Arabidopsis thaliana: one gene and its partners. The protein of the gene in region 1 interacts with the protein of each later gene in a biochemical or structural test. Each region holds a gene or a part of one and is shown in the gene's direction. Other genes may lie near its edges.

Region 1 (5,861 bases):
ACACTGAAACACCTCCTCAAAGGTAGTTGGAGATGGCTGCAACAACAAACATAGTCGTCAAGTAAAGAAAGAGCTAACAGAAACATTCTACACGTGCATACTCACACAAAGATCAAATTTTTACAACAAAGAACCAATTTTTAAATAAGGATGAACCAAATTTGAAAACCCTAATGTCTCAAATAAAACATTCAACAGTGAATGAATCCAAAAATCGAAAGGAAACGCTACCCTATCTTCGGGGTGAAAGCAAGGATGGATAATCCCGTTCATGTCGAGATAAAGATTATCGTATTCGAGGTTGTTAGGGTTAGGTTTACTAGTATCCACAGGAATCTTGATGCCTTCGATTTCAACAGGCTCTTCCTCGATAACATCCGCCACTAAAAGAGGATACTTCTCGGCCAACCATCGGTAAAACGACGGTACACCCATTCTTCACCGATGTCGAAGATATATATCTCCGGCGACACAAAGGAACAAGAAAGTAAAAAACCAACGGTGTTTGCCGACGGCGGTTAAGGTCACGAAGTGCACATTTATTGGGTTTTTTCCTAATGGATGAGAAAGCAAAAATCGGATTAATGAAACAGTAATCGGGCTTAAGACAAACCAAAATATGGGCTTTGTCGGAAGCCCATTTATCAAAAAATAAAATAAAAAGAAACTCCGTTGCCGGGACTCGAACCCGGGTCTCTCGGGTGAGAGCCGAGTATCCTGACCAGCTAGACTACAACGGATTTGTGTTCGATTTCTTAGCTCAAATTATATGACACTTAACAAGATTTGAATCAAAGAAAAGAGAACACGAAGGACTTGTTGTACTTGATTAAACTAGTCTCTTTCGGCTTTATGTCTAGTTCTTGTGGTCCATCTATTCCGGCAGAAATTATGATTCTTGGATTAAAATATCCTTTTGTTTAATCTTTCTTTGTGAGATTAGTGGTATAATAAGTCTTTGTTATACATTTTTCTTATAATCTATTTGTCTACATTATCCATATGTCTCATAGTGACTAATAGTACTGTAAATAAAACAATTTTGTTATAAAATTATAAATTCCCCTTTTGCTTTGCATGAACTATGGGTGAACCAGGAACCTTAACTAATAACCAGGAACCTTAACATAGAATGAAAAACATTTTGATTAGTGGATTTCGATTTTTAGAAAGAGTAAGCTTTGAATATTGAAAATCATAATAATTCATAATCTAACCATATATGAGATGCTATGAATATCCTTTTAGTGAGAAATATGTACGATTTGGTAGTTTCTGATTTACCAGCCATGAGAGATGCAGAGTTGGTCGTAACATTTGTCACAAGATTGGTAGCTACGAACATAATGCAGATACTGTCATACACGCACATGTATACTTACATACACAAAACCATATTGCATGTAAGATATTTTCTCATAGTGTTTTGATGATATTTACGTTGCTTGGTGAGACATGATCAATGAATTTAATCTACATCTTGTAGATATAAGCACTAGGTAACCATTTTTTAATAATCAAATACATCTTTATATAATTTACTTTTGGGGAACAACAAAAATTCACACCATCCCAAGAGTTCCATATAGTGGAATCCAAAACGATGTCGTTACACTCTCCCTCCTTTACGCTCCTCTCTTATATTATAGACGAAACACTAATTCTTCTCTGCAAATAAAAATCTTTCCTTTCTCCACTCTAATGGCCGCAACGGTCATTTTCTTCCTTCACTTCGCCGCAATCTTCTTCTCCAGATTCCACCACACCTCCGCCATCTCATCAGAGACTCAAGCACTCACATCTTTCAAACTCTCTCTCCACGACCCTCTAGGAGCTCTCGAGTCCTGGAATCAATCATCTCCATCAGCTCCATGCGACTGGCACGGCGTTTCTTGCTTCTCCGGCCGTGTCCGTGAGCTTCGTCTTCCTCGTCTCCACCTCACCGGCCACCTCAGTCCTCGACTCGGTGAGTTGACTCAGCTCCGTAAACTAAGTCTTCACACCAACGACATAAACGGCGCCGTTCCTTCGTCTCTCTCTCGTTGTGTCTTCCTTAGAGCTCTTTATCTTCACTACAACTCCTTCTCCGGCGATTTTCCACCGGAGATACTGAATCTACGAAACCTCCAGGTCCTCAACGCTGCTCACAACTCACTCACCGGAAATCTATCCGACGTCACAGTCTCGAAGAGCCTTCGTTACGTCGATTTGTCTTCCAATGCAATATCCGGTAAGATTCCGGCGAATTTCTCAGCGGATTCATCTCTCCAGCTCATCAACCTCTCGTTCAACCACTTCTCCGGTGAGATCCCGGCTACATTGGGACAACTACAAGACCTCGAGTATCTCTGGCTAGACTCAAACCAATTACAAGGCACAATACCATCCGCATTAGCCAACTGTTCATCGCTTATACACTTCAGCGTAACCGGTAATCACCTCACCGGTTTAATTCCGGTTACTTTAGGCACGATTCGAAGCCTGCAGGTGATTTCATTATCGGAGAATTCATTTACCGGTACAGTTCCGGTTAGTCTTCTATGTGGTTATTCAGGTTACAATTCCTCCATGCGAATCATTCAATTAGGAGTTAATAACTTCACGGGAATAGCTAAGCCGTCAAATGCAGCTTGCGTGAACCCTAATTTGGAGATTCTCGACATTCACGAGAATCGCATTAATGGCGATTTTCCCGCGTGGTTGACTGATTTGACCTCTTTAGTGGTTTTGGATATTTCTGGAAACGGTTTCTCCGGTGGTGTTACGGCTAAAGTTGGGAACTTGATGGCGCTTCAGGAGCTGAGAGTAGCTAACAATTCACTTGTTGGAGAAATTCCGACGAGTATCCGTAATTGCAAATCGTTAAGAGTCGTTGATTTCGAAGGAAACAAGTTCTCGGGTCAGATTCCGGGTTTTCTAAGTCAGTTACGGAGCCTGACAACGATATCTCTTGGAAGAAACGGGTTCTCGGGTCGGATTCCATCGGATCTTCTCAGCTTGTACGGACTCGAGACATTGAATCTCAATGAAAATCATCTCACCGGAGCAATACCGTCGGAGATAACAAAGCTAGCTAATCTTACCATCCTTAATCTCAGTTTCAACAGATTCTCCGGCGAAGTTCCGTCCAATGTGGGTGATCTGAAAAGCTTGAGTGTTCTCAACATAAGTGGATGCGGGTTAACGGGTCGGATACCGGTTAGCATTAGCGGATTAATGAAGCTTCAGGTTTTGGATATAAGTAAACAGAGAATCTCTGGTCAGTTACCAGTCGAACTATTTGGTTTACCGGATCTTCAAGTGGTTGCTCTTGGAAACAACTTGCTCGGCGGCGTCGTACCGGAAGGTTTCAGCAGCTTGGTTAGTCTTAAGTACTTAAATCTCAGTTCCAACTTATTCTCCGGACATATCCCAAAGAACTATGGATTTCTCAAGTCATTACAAGTGCTTTCGTTGTCTCACAATCGAATATCCGGTACAATCCCGCCGGAGATTGGGAATTGTTCCAGTCTTGAGGTTCTTGAGCTTGGTTCTAATAGTTTAAAGGGTCACATTCCGGTTTACGTTTCCAAGTTGTCTCTTTTGAAGAAGCTTGATTTGAGTCACAACAGTTTAACAGGGAGTATTCCGGATCAGATTTCTAAGGATTCTTCTCTAGAATCTCTCCTGCTTAATTCGAATTCTCTATCGGGTCGAATACCGGAATCTTTATCAAGATTGACGAATCTAACCGCGTTGGATCTTTCGTCGAACAGATTGAATTCCACTATACCATCAAGTCTCTCTCGGCTTCGTTTCTTGAACTATTTCAACTTATCAAGAAACAGTTTGGAAGGGGAGATTCCAGAAGCTCTAGCTGCGCGTTTCACTAACCCGACCGTCTTTGTCAAGAACCCGGGACTCTGCGGTAAACCGCTTGGTATAGAATGTCCAAACGTTCGAAGGAGAAGAAGAAGAAAGCTAATTCTACTAGTGACACTAGCAGTGGCTGGAGCTTTGTTGCTGTTACTCTGTTGTTGTGGTTATGTGTTCAGTTTATGGAAATGGCGGAACAAACTAAGATTGGGCTTGAGTCGGGACAAGAAAGGGACCCCCTCACGTACATCTAGAGCGAGTTCTGGTGGGACAAGAGGAGAAGACAACAATGGTGGACCTAAACTTGTGATGTTCAACAACAAGATCACGTTAGCTGAAACCTTAGAAGCCACAAGACAATTTGACGAAGAGAACGTATTGAGCAGAGGAAGGTATGGGTTGGTCTTCAAGGCGACGTTTAGAGATGGGATGGTTCTATCGGTTCGTAGACTAATGGATGGTGCTTCGATAACCGATGCAACGTTCCGTAACCAAGCTGAGGCTTTAGGTAGAGTGAAGCACAAGAACATCACGGTCTTGAGAGGTTATTACTGCGGACCACCTGATCTAAGACTTCTTGTTTACGACTACATGCCCAACGGAAACCTCGCTACGCTTTTGCAAGAAGCCTCTCACCAAGACGGACATGTCTTGAACTGGCCAATGCGTCATCTCATTGCTCTTGGAATCGCTAGAGGACTGTCCTTCTTGCATTCTTTATCAATCATTCACGGCGATCTTAAACCGCAAAACGTACTCTTCGACGCTGACTTTGAAGCGCATTTGTCAGAATTCGGGTTAGATAGATTGACAGCGTTGACTCCAGCTGAAGAACCATCCACTTCATCCACTCCCGTCGGGTCTTTAGGCTACATTGCACCGGAAGCGGGTTTAACGGGTGAAACAAGTAAAGAGAGCGACGTGTACAGCTTCGGGATCGTGTTGTTAGAGATCTTAACGGGGAAAAAGGCAGTGATGTTTACAGAGGATGAAGATATAGTGAAATGGGTGAAGAGACAGTTACAAAAAGGTCAGATCGTTGAGTTGCTTGAACCGGGTTTGTTGGAGCTTGACCCGGAAAGTTCGGAGTGGGAAGAGTTCTTGTTAGGGATCAAAGTTGGGTTGTTGTGTACTGGAGGAGACGTCGTTGATCGTCCGTCTATGGCTGATGTTGTTTTCATGCTCGAAGGGTGTAGAGTCGGTCCGGCGATTTCCTTGTCCGCCGATCCTACTTCACCTACTTCTCCCGCCGCAACCGCCGTTTCTTGAAATTGCTGTTTTCTTATTACAATCATTTTATTTCTTTTTCCTTTATTTTTTTTCCTTTGTGGATAATTTATGTTGACTTTCATTGTGTTGTATCTTGTCACGGGTACGACAATCAAATTTTAAGTTGCCAAATTTATTGAATTTCCCACGGTGGAATGAACAATCACTTCAATGTGTTGTTGTTAACTTGTTATCTTGGGTTTTAGAACAATTTTTTCCGGGATTCTCGTTCAACAAAAAATCATATTATAACGAATATATATTTGTCGGGTCCAGCATATTATTATTAGTCATGTAGACTAAAATAGTGTGTTGACGTTGAGGTTTAGACCCTATGGCGCCGTTATGGTAAGCATTGCGTAAACTATCTACCGAGCTTTAGTAGACAATGTTCCGTGATTTGGTCAGTGGGGTTAATACTTAATAGTACATGTGTGGGGTTTTCAACATTGTCGTTGTTCTGTTTTAGTTCCCGCCAAATACGTTAGGACAAGTGGGTGTGTGACACGTGTTGGTCTTCATAGGGAGATGAAAGTAGCCGTTGATATTATTTATTGGATTTTTGTGTTTGGGGAAAAGTGAAGTTAAGCCGTCAGAGGACGAAAAGCTTTTTTAAGCAGAGCCTGTTGTTGTCTGAAACCCCAGTCCACGTTGGATTTCTTACTGTTTAGCCAGTGTACTTTGTTTCTTTGGCCTTTTTTATTAATTATTACTTCTCTTTCATTTATTTAACTTTT
Region 2 (5,706 bases), on another chromosome or scaffold:
CACAGTTAATTGGGATGCGATTCTTGTTATCTAAGTTAGAATCGTGGATGCGATGATGAAGTTTGTATTTTCTATTGATATTGTTTTACCCAAACCCAAGAGTCGAGAATGAATTTTTATGTCGTTGCTATTTATTCTGAACTTATGTCGTAAATGTTGGGATCAATAATTTAAGGTGACCGAGTCGTGACCCACATGAGTGTCGAGTGATTATTACAGCTTCGGTGAAAACGAGTGAAAAGTGAAAACGCAAACATTATTTTTAGGATCTTCTCTTTTGCTCACGAAGAATTGTAGTACTATTAGATAATCTCATAATCCTGAATGAGTGTTTTTAGTGGGATCACAATCCGAAATGACTATTTAAGCGTTAAGATTCAAAACAACTTCACATATATATAACCTTCAATGACTTCAATTTAATATATAGTTTGAAATTTAGTGTGAAAATCAAAATAATCGAACCTCGTTAATATTTTTAGTTTCATTCATGTTAAGTAATTCAAGCCAATTTTCCTTTTATAGTTTCTCTGCATGCAAATTTATATTTAAAGTGCGTGCATGTTGCATCACTTCAGTAATATGGTAGAATGCAAATTCGTTAACCGTCTCTATAGTTCATGACTTCATGATAGCATAAGAGATAAAATGAATTCAGGGATTTATGTGTAATCATTAAGGAATGAGAAAGTCACATAAAGCATGTAAAATAATTTTTGGGTCGTTATTTTTTTTTACTACGATGAATCTCTGCTCTCTTTTATATATTTTAGTCATGACTGAATAATGACAGGCAATTTTAATAATTTAAGATAAGTATGCGGTATGCCATGATCGGTAGACGGTAGCTCAATACAATTCCGACACAGAAACTAGTTTTTTTTTGGGTATTTGATAATGGGCCTTTTAGCAATTTTCTAAAGCCCAAATTTATTATTCTTGCTTCACGCAATATTGTTTAAAGCCCAATTTAGAGAACATGATTTCCATTCCGAATTCGTCGCCCAGTCACTTATTAGATTAATAGATTGCATTGCATTGCTTGTGCTTTCAATTTACAAATTGTCTCCCAACTCCATCGACACATCTCTTTTTGTGTATATAAGATTCAGACTTGTTATATTTTTTTTATAAATATGTTATTAGCATCTTAAGTTAAATTGATTTTTTATATCTGCATTAAGGATTACACGACTATATTTGCGATTGTGTGTTGGTTAAAATATAATTTAGGATTGTCTTTAACTACATTTAGGATTATATGACTATATTTGGTTAAATATAAAATCTAGCTGTGATTATTAGTATTCAAAAATAAGTAGCCTAACCAATTAAAACAACGGCTATTGGGGCAAATTAGAACATTTTAGTGTGTCCAAAATATAATGGTCATTAGGTCATATTCCTCCTAGCTTCATCGCAGCATAATTGAATGATTGCCTTATTTAGAAGAGCTTTTCCACTTTCCCAAAATCTATGTGGGATCTTTTTGTTTTGACCTTCATTTTTCTTGTTTACCATTTTTAGCTAAATTATTTACGATTACAAAAGATATCAAAAGTTGGATCATAATACAATTTATAGACTTACTGTAGAAAATTCGTATGTACAAGTACAACAAATTCTTCATAATAAATTTTGAAAATTCTATTACAAATGTTGTAAGAAATAGAATTTGAAATATATATAAACTAAGGAGAAAAAAAAAGAGAACATGCATTGCTCTAGTCAGAGTGGACCAACATCAACGAGATAAGATAACATAAAAACCAACTCACCATAACTAAAAACATCCCAAGAGATCCAACGATTCATATCAAACACAAAAACATCGAACGATCAGATTTAAACCATCTCTGGTATCTCCAAAACACAAACACTTTTTTTTTTCTTTTGTCTGAATGGAACAAAAGCATGCGACATCTCTGTGTCTTTATCTTCTCTCTCCTCTTCTTGAAAAACTGAACCTTTAATTCTTTCTTCACATCTCCTTTAGCTTTCTGAAGCTGCTATCTTCAAGCTCAAAACCAAACCCTAGAAATAAAATGACGGCGACACAAATGCTGCTTCATCTTCTTCTTCTTCCACTTCTCTTCCTTCACTTCAGCAACCAAGTCATGGCAGAAATCACCGACGAGTTAGCGACATTGATGGAGGTTAAAACAGAGCTTGACCCAGAAGACAAACACTTAGCTTCATGGAGTGTTAATGGAGATCTGTGTAAAGACTTTGAAGGTGTTGGTTGTGACTGGAAAGGACGAGTTTCTAACATATCTCTACAAGGGAAAGGCTTATCTGGTAAAATCTCTCCGAACATTGGAAAGCTTAAACATTTGACGGGTTTGTTCTTGCACTACAATGCTCTTGTTGGAGATATTCCTAGAGAACTTGGTAACTTGTCGGAACTTACGGATCTTTATCTCAATGTTAATAATCTCTCCGGTGAGATTCCTTCAAACATTGGGAAGATGCAAGGCTTGCAAGGTTAGTTCTTTTTTACTTTAATTTTAATCTTAATCATTGATTAAACTTAAAACCTAAATTTAGCATTGTTAGATCTTTGGTTTCTGCAAAATTCTTGTCCCAAGATTAATCAATGTTCTGTGGAGATTTGAAACCTAGAAATCTGAGCTCCTTGTCTTAGGGGTTTTAGTTACTTCATTACTATCTCTGGTAGTTGAAATTATTTGAATTAGATGATTTTGGAATTTAATGCTTTAATGATCTGTCTTTAAAACGTCCTTTTCATGTCTTTTTGTTAGGATTTTTCTTTTTGTAATTTTCCTGTAAGGAAGAATAGTCAAGAACTTTTTAAGATTCAAACTTTTAATTGGAACCATAAATGGCTTACTGGTCCCAAAATATGGACTTGAATTGAAGATAACTTGTACTTCTCTTGATTAATTTTGTTTATTTAGATAATTGATTCACTTACTTTCAAAAGGCTTTATATTTGAGCTTTAATTAGCAGGACCAGGTTTCTAAATCTAGAATTAGTTCTAAGTTAATGTAAGTCAAAGCTAAGCTTCATTCCTTTTTTGGTCTATGTTGTTGTGTAGTTTTGCAGCTCTGTTACAACAATTTGACTGGAAGCATTCCTAGGGAGCTTAGTTCACTGAGGAAGCTGAGTGTTCTTGCTCTTCAATCTAACAAACTCACTGGAGCTATACCTGCGAGTTTAGGAGATTTAAGTGCTCTAGAGCGGCTAGATTTGAGCTACAATCATTTGTTTGGTTCTGTACCAGGCAAGTTAGCTAGCCCTCCTCTGCTTCGAGTTCTCGACATCCGCAACAACTCCCTCACTGGCAATGTACCTCCTGGTTAGAAAACTGATTCACTATATGATCTTTGAAACTAACTTTGCGTATTTTGTGAAGTGTTTCTCATTTTGGTTTATATTTCTTTCTCTGTTGTACCGATTTGACAGTACTGAAGAGATTAAATGAAGGTTTTTCGTTTGAAAACAACTTGGGACTATGTGGAGCTGAGTTCTCGCCGTTGAAATCTTGCAATGGCACAGCTCCTGAGGAACCTAAGCCATACGGTGCAACCGTGTTTGGTTTTCCATCCCGGGATATACCAGAATCAGCTAATCTACGGTCACCTTGTAATGGAACAAACTGTAATACTCCTCCAAAATCTCACCAAGGTGCAATCCTTATTGGTTTGGTTGTCTCGACTATTGCATTGTCTGCTATTAGCATCCTCTTGTTCACGCATTATCGCAGACGCAAACAGAAGCTTTCAACCACTTATGAAATGTCGGACAACCGTCTCAACACCGTAGGAGGAGGTTTTAGGAAGAACAATGGTTCTCCATTGGCCAGTCTTGAATATACTAATGGTTGGGATCCACTTTCAGACAATAGGAATCTCAGTGTCTTTGCTCAAGAAGTTATCCAGAGCTTTCGATTCAATCTTGAAGAGGTTGAAACTGCTACACAGTATTTCTCAGAAGTGAATTTGCTTGGAAGAAGCAACTTCTCTGCGACTTACAAAGGAATCTTGAGAGATGGTTCTGCTGTAGCGATCAAACGGTTTAGTAAAACAAGTTGCAAATCTGAAGAACCTGAGTTCTTGAAAGGACTCAACATGTTGGCGTCTCTGAAACATGAAAACTTGTCAAAACTTAGAGGCTTCTGCTGTTCAAGAGGCCGTGGAGAATGTTTTCTCATCTATGATTTTGCTCCTAATGGAAATTTACTGAGCTATCTTGATCTCAAAGATGGTGATGCGCATGTTCTTGATTGGTCCACGAGAGTATCCATTGCTAAAGGCATCGCAAAAGGTATGAGTTTTATTTATGCCGAACCAATTTTGTTAGCGTTCTTGATTCATTTTTGTTTATGTGTTTGATGTTTTGTGTTTAGGGATTGCTTATCTACATTCATACAAAGGAAGCAAGCCAGCATTGGTTCACCAAAACATCTCAGCGGAGAAAGTTCTAATCGACCAGCGATACAGTCCTCTACTCTCAAACTCAGGCCTCCACACACTTCTCACAAACGACATTGTCTTCTCTGCACTCAAAGACAGTGCAGCAATGGGCTACCTCGCTCCAGAATACACCACAACCGGACGTTTCACCGAGAAAACCGATGTCTACGCTTTCGGGATTCTTGTGTTTCAGATAATCTCCGGGAAACAGAAGGTTAGGCATCTTGTTAAGCTTGGAACTGAAGCTTGTAGGTTCAATGATTACATAGATCCAAATCTTCAAGGAAGATTCTTTGAATATGAAGCCACAAAGCTAGCTAGAATCGCGTGGCTATGCACTCATGAATCTCCCATTGAAAGACCATCCGTGGAAGCTGTAGTTCATGAGCTAGGTAACTGTAGTAGCTGTCTCTGAGAACTCTCTCGAGGCAAATGTGTAATGTGTACCTTAGGAATCAATTAAGGAAGGGTTTGTTAGTCACCTTTTCCTGTGTTTAGGGTTAAGAAAAAGGTGCCTTTTCCCTTCCCATTAACGTTTAAAAACTGTTCAACGTGTTGTACTTTATTGGTTTGTATGATTTGTGTTTATGTTAAGCTCTTCAACCTTAGAAGAAGACAAGACAAGTACATTACTTTTAAAAAATTTCGGTAGATGGAAAATATTTATGGTACTTTGTCTTCTTTTTTTTTTATAACTTTCTGAACCAATTTATTGTCAATAATTCAATATAGAAAAAAAATAACGTATAACATTTTTTTTTCTGATATTGATCAAATCAATATCAAAAGAATTGATTTGTTAGATGGTTTTGATTTAGATTTGGATATGAGCTTTAACTTTTAAGTCTTTATTAGTCATCTAGATCTAGATACAAATTTATAAATATAAAGTCAAAGGTTAACTATTAGCATTGGCCACCAGATTCGAATAATTTACATGATTTTTCTAGACTTCAGGATTAGATTTTGGACCTAGTAAATTTTTAGAATTACTTGAGTTATTTGAAAGAAATAAATTAAATTATTAGTTGTCCACAAAAGACAGAAAAAAATATCAAATTATACTTTTCATTGGTCAAAAAAGGATTATACCAAATATCTAAGGAAGGAAGATATTGTTGATATAGCTAATTAATCAGTAACTAATCCTAACCGTCCATTTCTCCTCAAACCGCTTGATCTAACGGTAGCAAAAGGCTTCGATCACATAACACCATTTGTTTCCATAGAAACGAACGAGTCGTGGAGATTTATAAGCGAGACTTCTTC
Region 3 (4,968 bases), on another chromosome or scaffold:
AAACATTCATACATGTAACTATGTAAGTAAGCATGCATACTAAATATAAAATTTTCAAAAGTTTTAAAAGACATCATATAGATTCAAAAAGACGTGGGAAAAAGGAGAAAATGACAAAAGTTATTAGTAAAACAATCAAGTAAAAGGTCAAAGTAGTTAACGAAAAGATAAAAGTATTTCAAAAGTCTTCCTTCCATCTTGAAATGCCAAAAAATAAAAGACGAATGATTGAAGATAAATCAAAGTTGTCTGATTGCTATTGTATACATCTTTTTTTTTGTTAAAACTATTGTATACATCTAAAAAACCTTGAAGTAATCAAGATCTGAATTATAGCCGTTGATAAGGTTTTATGCTTTCACATTGAACTCGATCGTCGTCGTCAAATCTACTAGTCTCGTTTTTTAGTTTTAACGTGCTTAATTACTTCACTAATTTGTTTTTTGTTATCATTTTCACCAATTTTATTCATTGTGTGAATTAAGTTTTGTCCACATAGTAAGATTCATCAGTATAATAGGACATATGATAAAAGTTTGTATATAATCAAAGAGTATATCTAAGAATATCTAATTAAGATGAATGTTTCAGTCCACATTGGATTCTGCTTATAGTCAAACTGTCTTGTTCTTAAACCCAATTAGGTTAGAATACATGTACCAACAAATAGCATTTCTATAACTAATCTTTTATCAATTTACTTTATAGCCTACAAATAATTAGAGGAAAAGAAAAGAGAGTTAGTGGAATAATTGTCCTCTAAATCTCGATATCATCATTAACTAAATACTATATTTAGACCATATATACTATATTTTATAGTATACTATATTTTATAGTATATATAATCAACTAATCATATTAGACCACTATTAGAAATATGGATCTAAAAAAAACATTCTTTAATCAGTACTATTCTCATCCAAAGACTTGTTTTAAGAGACTAAATATGAATATGTGTATGTGTATGTGTATGCAGGAGTAGACACGTGCACGTGGCACATGCAGGGAATGGGAAGGTGGAGTGTTGACAAAGAAGAAGAGGATGATCCAAGTTTCGAAATGATTCCAAAAGTTATGAACTATAAGCCAAAGTGCTCAATCGCCAAACATGAACTTAAATAAACTTCACTCGTTAGATCGTTTTCTCACATTAAAGCCGCTCTACACTTTTACCCATTTTACCATTTATAATAACCACCACACATAGATATTAAGTTCTATGGATTTTATTCGTAAACTTAAGTTATGATCAAATAGCTAAATGATTTTGCGATTTGCCCGAGTTCTGTTTGTTTCTAAAATGGTTATCCAAAAAGCATATTTTTGTTTTATATAGAATTTGTGATATAGAAGAAATATACTAAAAATGTTTTAAAGTCTGTCTAAATCATAAACCAATGCAAAGAAAGTGAAATAAACCAAGATCTCGAGCAATAGACATAATAAATAAACAAACACCTAATAACATCACATCCCCACTAACAAATGTGAACATTAACTGTTAAAAATCACCAAAAAAGTCATCAAGATTTGGCTTTCCTTTTCAAAAGCAGTATACGTCTCTGTCTCACACAGACAGTGTATTCAATGCGTTGTGTTGTCTTCCCACTTTTCACCAGCTGAGGTTCTGCTTCTTTCTCTTCTTCTCTCCAAAACAAGAAAATTCTGCAGAATAACTTTTCATTCACGAGAGTGGAAGGTTACAGTTTTCCAAATCCGAGAAACAGACACAAAATTGGTCCCTCTCTAAAAGTTACTATCTTCGTTTAACAAAGAGATAGCTCCCAATCCAGTACAAAACAGAGTACTCTGCTCTATAAATTTCGTTCCTTTATTACTCTGCTCTATAAAACAGATTATTCTGCTCTATAAGAGAGATAGATAAATGAGCTAAAGCTCAGTAATTTCTAAACAGAGAGACAAGAAAATTCAAGAATGGTTACCTTATGTGCCACGTTACTGATCCTTCTCTCAATCTTTCTTGCAACTCCGTCGAATGTTCGAGGAAATGCAGAGCTGAAGGCTTTAATGGAGCTGAAATCGTCGCTTGACCCTGAAAACAAGCTTCTCCGTTCATGGACGTTTAACGGCGATCCATGCGACGGATCTTTCGAAGGAATTGCATGTAACCAGCATCTAAAAGTCGCAAACATATCATTACAAGGGAAACGTTTGGTCGGAAAATTGTCTCCGGCGGTTGCAGAGCTCAAATGTTTGTCAGGTCTTTACTTACATTACAATAGTCTCTCTGGAGAGATACCTCAAGAGATCACAAATCTTACTGAATTATCAGATCTTTATCTCAATGTTAATAACTTCTCTGGTGAGATTCCGGCAGATATCGGCTCCATGGCTGGCTTGCAAGGTTAGCATCTTATAATGTTTCACAGATCTTTCACTTGAATGTTTACTCGATCTTCCATTTGAATGTTTTGTGGTGTCTTTTGTTGCAGTTATGGATCTTTGTTGCAACAGTTTAACAGGGAAGATACCAAAGAACATTGGATCCTTGAAGAAACTTAATGTGTTGTCTCTGCAACACAACAAACTAACCGGAGAGGTTCCTTGGACTTTAGGAAACTTGAGTATGTTAAGCAGGCTTGATTTAAGCTTCAACAATCTGTTAGGTTTAATCCCAAAAACCCTAGCCAACATTCCTCAGTTGGACACTCTTGACTTGCGCAACAATACTCTCTCTGGCTTTGTTCCTCCTGGTGAGTTAATGATTCTTGAAACGTCTTTGTAAGAGCTTATCTCTCTGTTTCTTGACTCGGTTTTTTCTTCGTTATGTTTCTTCAAAGGTCTTAAGAAGTTGAATGGGAGCTTCCAGTTTGAGAACAACACCGGGTTATGTGGTATCGATTTTCCTTCTTTGAGAGCTTGTTCTGCTTTCGATAATGCGAATAATATCGAACAATTTAAGCAGCCTCCTGGTGAAATAGACACTGATAAATCAGCTCTTCACAACATTCCCGAGTCTGTATATCTCCAAAAGCATTGCAACCAAACACATTGCAAGAAATCCTCATCGAAACTCCCACAAGTTGCTTTGATTTCAAGCGTGATTACCGTCACTATAACATTGATTGGTGCTGGTATATTGACCTTCTTTCGCTACAGAAGAAGGAAGCAAAAGATCAGTAACACACCTGAGTTTTCCGAGGGAAGACTAAGCACAGATCAACAAAAAGAGTTCCGTGCATCGCCTTTAGTGAGTCTTGCCTACACTAAAGAATGGGATCCGCTAGGTGATAGCAGAAACGGAGCTGAGTTTTCACAAGAGCCTCATCTCTTTGTTGTAAATAGTAGCTTCAGGTTTAACTTAGAAGACATTGAATCAGCAACCCAATGCTTCTCAGAAGCTAATCTATTGAGCAGAAACAGCTTCACCTCAGTGTTCAAAGGAGTCCTCAGAGATGGTTCTCCGGTAGCTATCAGAAGCATCAACATAAGCAGTTGCAAGAACGAAGAAGTCGAATTCATGAACGGTTTAAAGCTTTTATCTTCGTTGTCACACGAAAACTTAGTGAAGCTACGTGGATTCTGCTGTTCTAGAGGCAGAGGAGAGTGTTTCCTCATCTATGATTTTGCTTCAAAAGGAAAGCTTTCAAATTTTCTTGACTTACAAGAACGCGAAACTAATCTGGTCCTTGCTTGGTCTGCAAGAATCTCCATCATCAAAGGGATTGCAAAAGGTTAAGTATTTGAAATATCACTTCTTTGAGTTCAAGGAACAAAATGTATTTAATACACAAATTTCTTGCAGGTATTGCTTACTTACATGGAAGTGATCAACAGAAGAAGCCTACAATAGTTCATCGAAACATCTCTGTCGAAAAAATCCTACTTGATGAACAATTTAACCCGTTAATCGCTGATTCGGGTCTTCACAACCTTCTAGCAGACGATATGGTCTTCTCAGCACTCAAAACAAGTGCAGCAATGGGATATTTAGCTCCGGAATACGTCACAACCGGAAAATTCACCGAGAAAACCGATATTTTCGCCTTTGGAGTCATCATTCTCCAGATACTCTCTGGTAAGCTCATGCTTACAAGTTCACTGAGAAATGCAGCTGAAAATGGAGAACATAACGGGTTCATCGATGAAGATCTTCGTGAAGAGTTTGATAAACCAGAGGCGACTGCAATGGCGAGGATTGGGATAAGCTGTACACAGGAGATACCAAACAATAGGCCTAATATAGAGACATTGCTTGAGAATATAAACTGTATGAAGAGTGAATGACTCTGCTTTTTAATTAGTATCTTTGTGCAAGTATGATTCTCCGGTTAGCTGTGTCCCACCAATTGGTTTTGTTTGTTTTAGTTCTCTCCAGTAAGAACCGGGTCCGGTTTATATTTTATTTAGATTTGTAGCTGAGAATTGAAGCTTTAATCAGTTAGCTATATGATTATAAGCAACGAAGAACTGATTAATGTAACAAAAGATACATATATAATAATCATCAAGGAGCAGTGTTTAAAACCCTCAAATCATGTCATCATACAGTTACAGTAATGATGATGCAACCTAAGTAAAGTAATTAGTCTTTGGTTACATTCACTAAAGATTTTCGAAACCATACATATAGGCGGAGATTAGTTTGTACCATGTCCTCTTACATTCATTGCAGCTTTCGGTCTTCGGGATGATTCTGCTCGTGCATGAGAAGGACTTGGATCAGTCGAGGGAAGTAACATTGGTTGCTCTCTGTTCACAAGACCACCTGCAAGAACATCAAAGAGATGATTTATCTTTGTTCACAAAGAAACGTACAACACGAAAACTTGACCGTGTAATAGGACTGCTTACTTCCAAATGAACCAGAGCGACTGGGTAACTGCATTTGCCTTCTAGCATTTCCACTCCAAGACTGTTCAAAACCAGCCAATTCATCTGCAGAATTTTGCAATTGAAAGCAAACGGTATATAAGGATATTTCATCCACAATAGAACATTTAT

The links. Proteins that work in one complex are often made in the same cells at the same time.
Region 2: the proteins of AT1G75640 (region 1) and AT5G51560 form a complex in vitro, tested with the Arabidopsis thaliana proteins (one large-scale study listed by BioGRID).
Region 3: the proteins of AT1G75640 (region 1) and AT4G22730 form a complex in vitro, tested with the Arabidopsis thaliana proteins (one large-scale study listed by BioGRID).

Annotation. Positions count from the first base shown.
Region 1 is NC_003070.9:28,402,863-28,408,723, reverse strand, and holds AT1G75640 (Leucine-rich receptor-like protein kinase family protein), read left to right. Parts: upstream 1-1,541; 5' UTR 1,542-1,701; coding exon 1,702-5,124; 3' UTR 5,125-5,353; downstream 5,354-5,861. Other genes in the region: XRN3 (5'-3' exoribonuclease 3), read right to left, coding at 1-36, 232-435.
Region 2 is NC_003076.8:20,943,762-20,949,467, forward strand, and holds AT5G51560 (Leucine-rich repeat protein kinase family protein), read left to right. Parts: upstream 1-1,914; 5' UTR 1,915-2,045; coding exon 2,046-2,484; intron 2,485-3,059; coding exon 3,060-3,320; intron 3,321-3,427; coding exon 3,428-4,288; intron 4,289-4,370; coding exon 4,371-4,852; 3' UTR 4,853-5,178; downstream 5,179-5,706.
Region 3 is NC_003075.7:11,939,446-11,944,413, forward strand, and holds AT4G22730 (Leucine-rich repeat protein kinase family protein), read left to right. Parts: upstream 1-1,555; 5' UTR 1,556-1,938; coding exon 1,939-2,368; intron 2,369-2,456; coding exon 2,457-2,717; exon of another isoform or gene 2,718-2,804; coding exon 2,805-3,698; coding exon of another isoform or gene 3,699-3,703; intron 3,704-3,769; coding exon 3,770-4,251; 3' UTR 4,252-4,440; downstream 4,441-4,968. Other genes in the region: AT4G22740 (glycine-rich protein), read right to left, coding at 4,605-4,732, 4,819-4,902.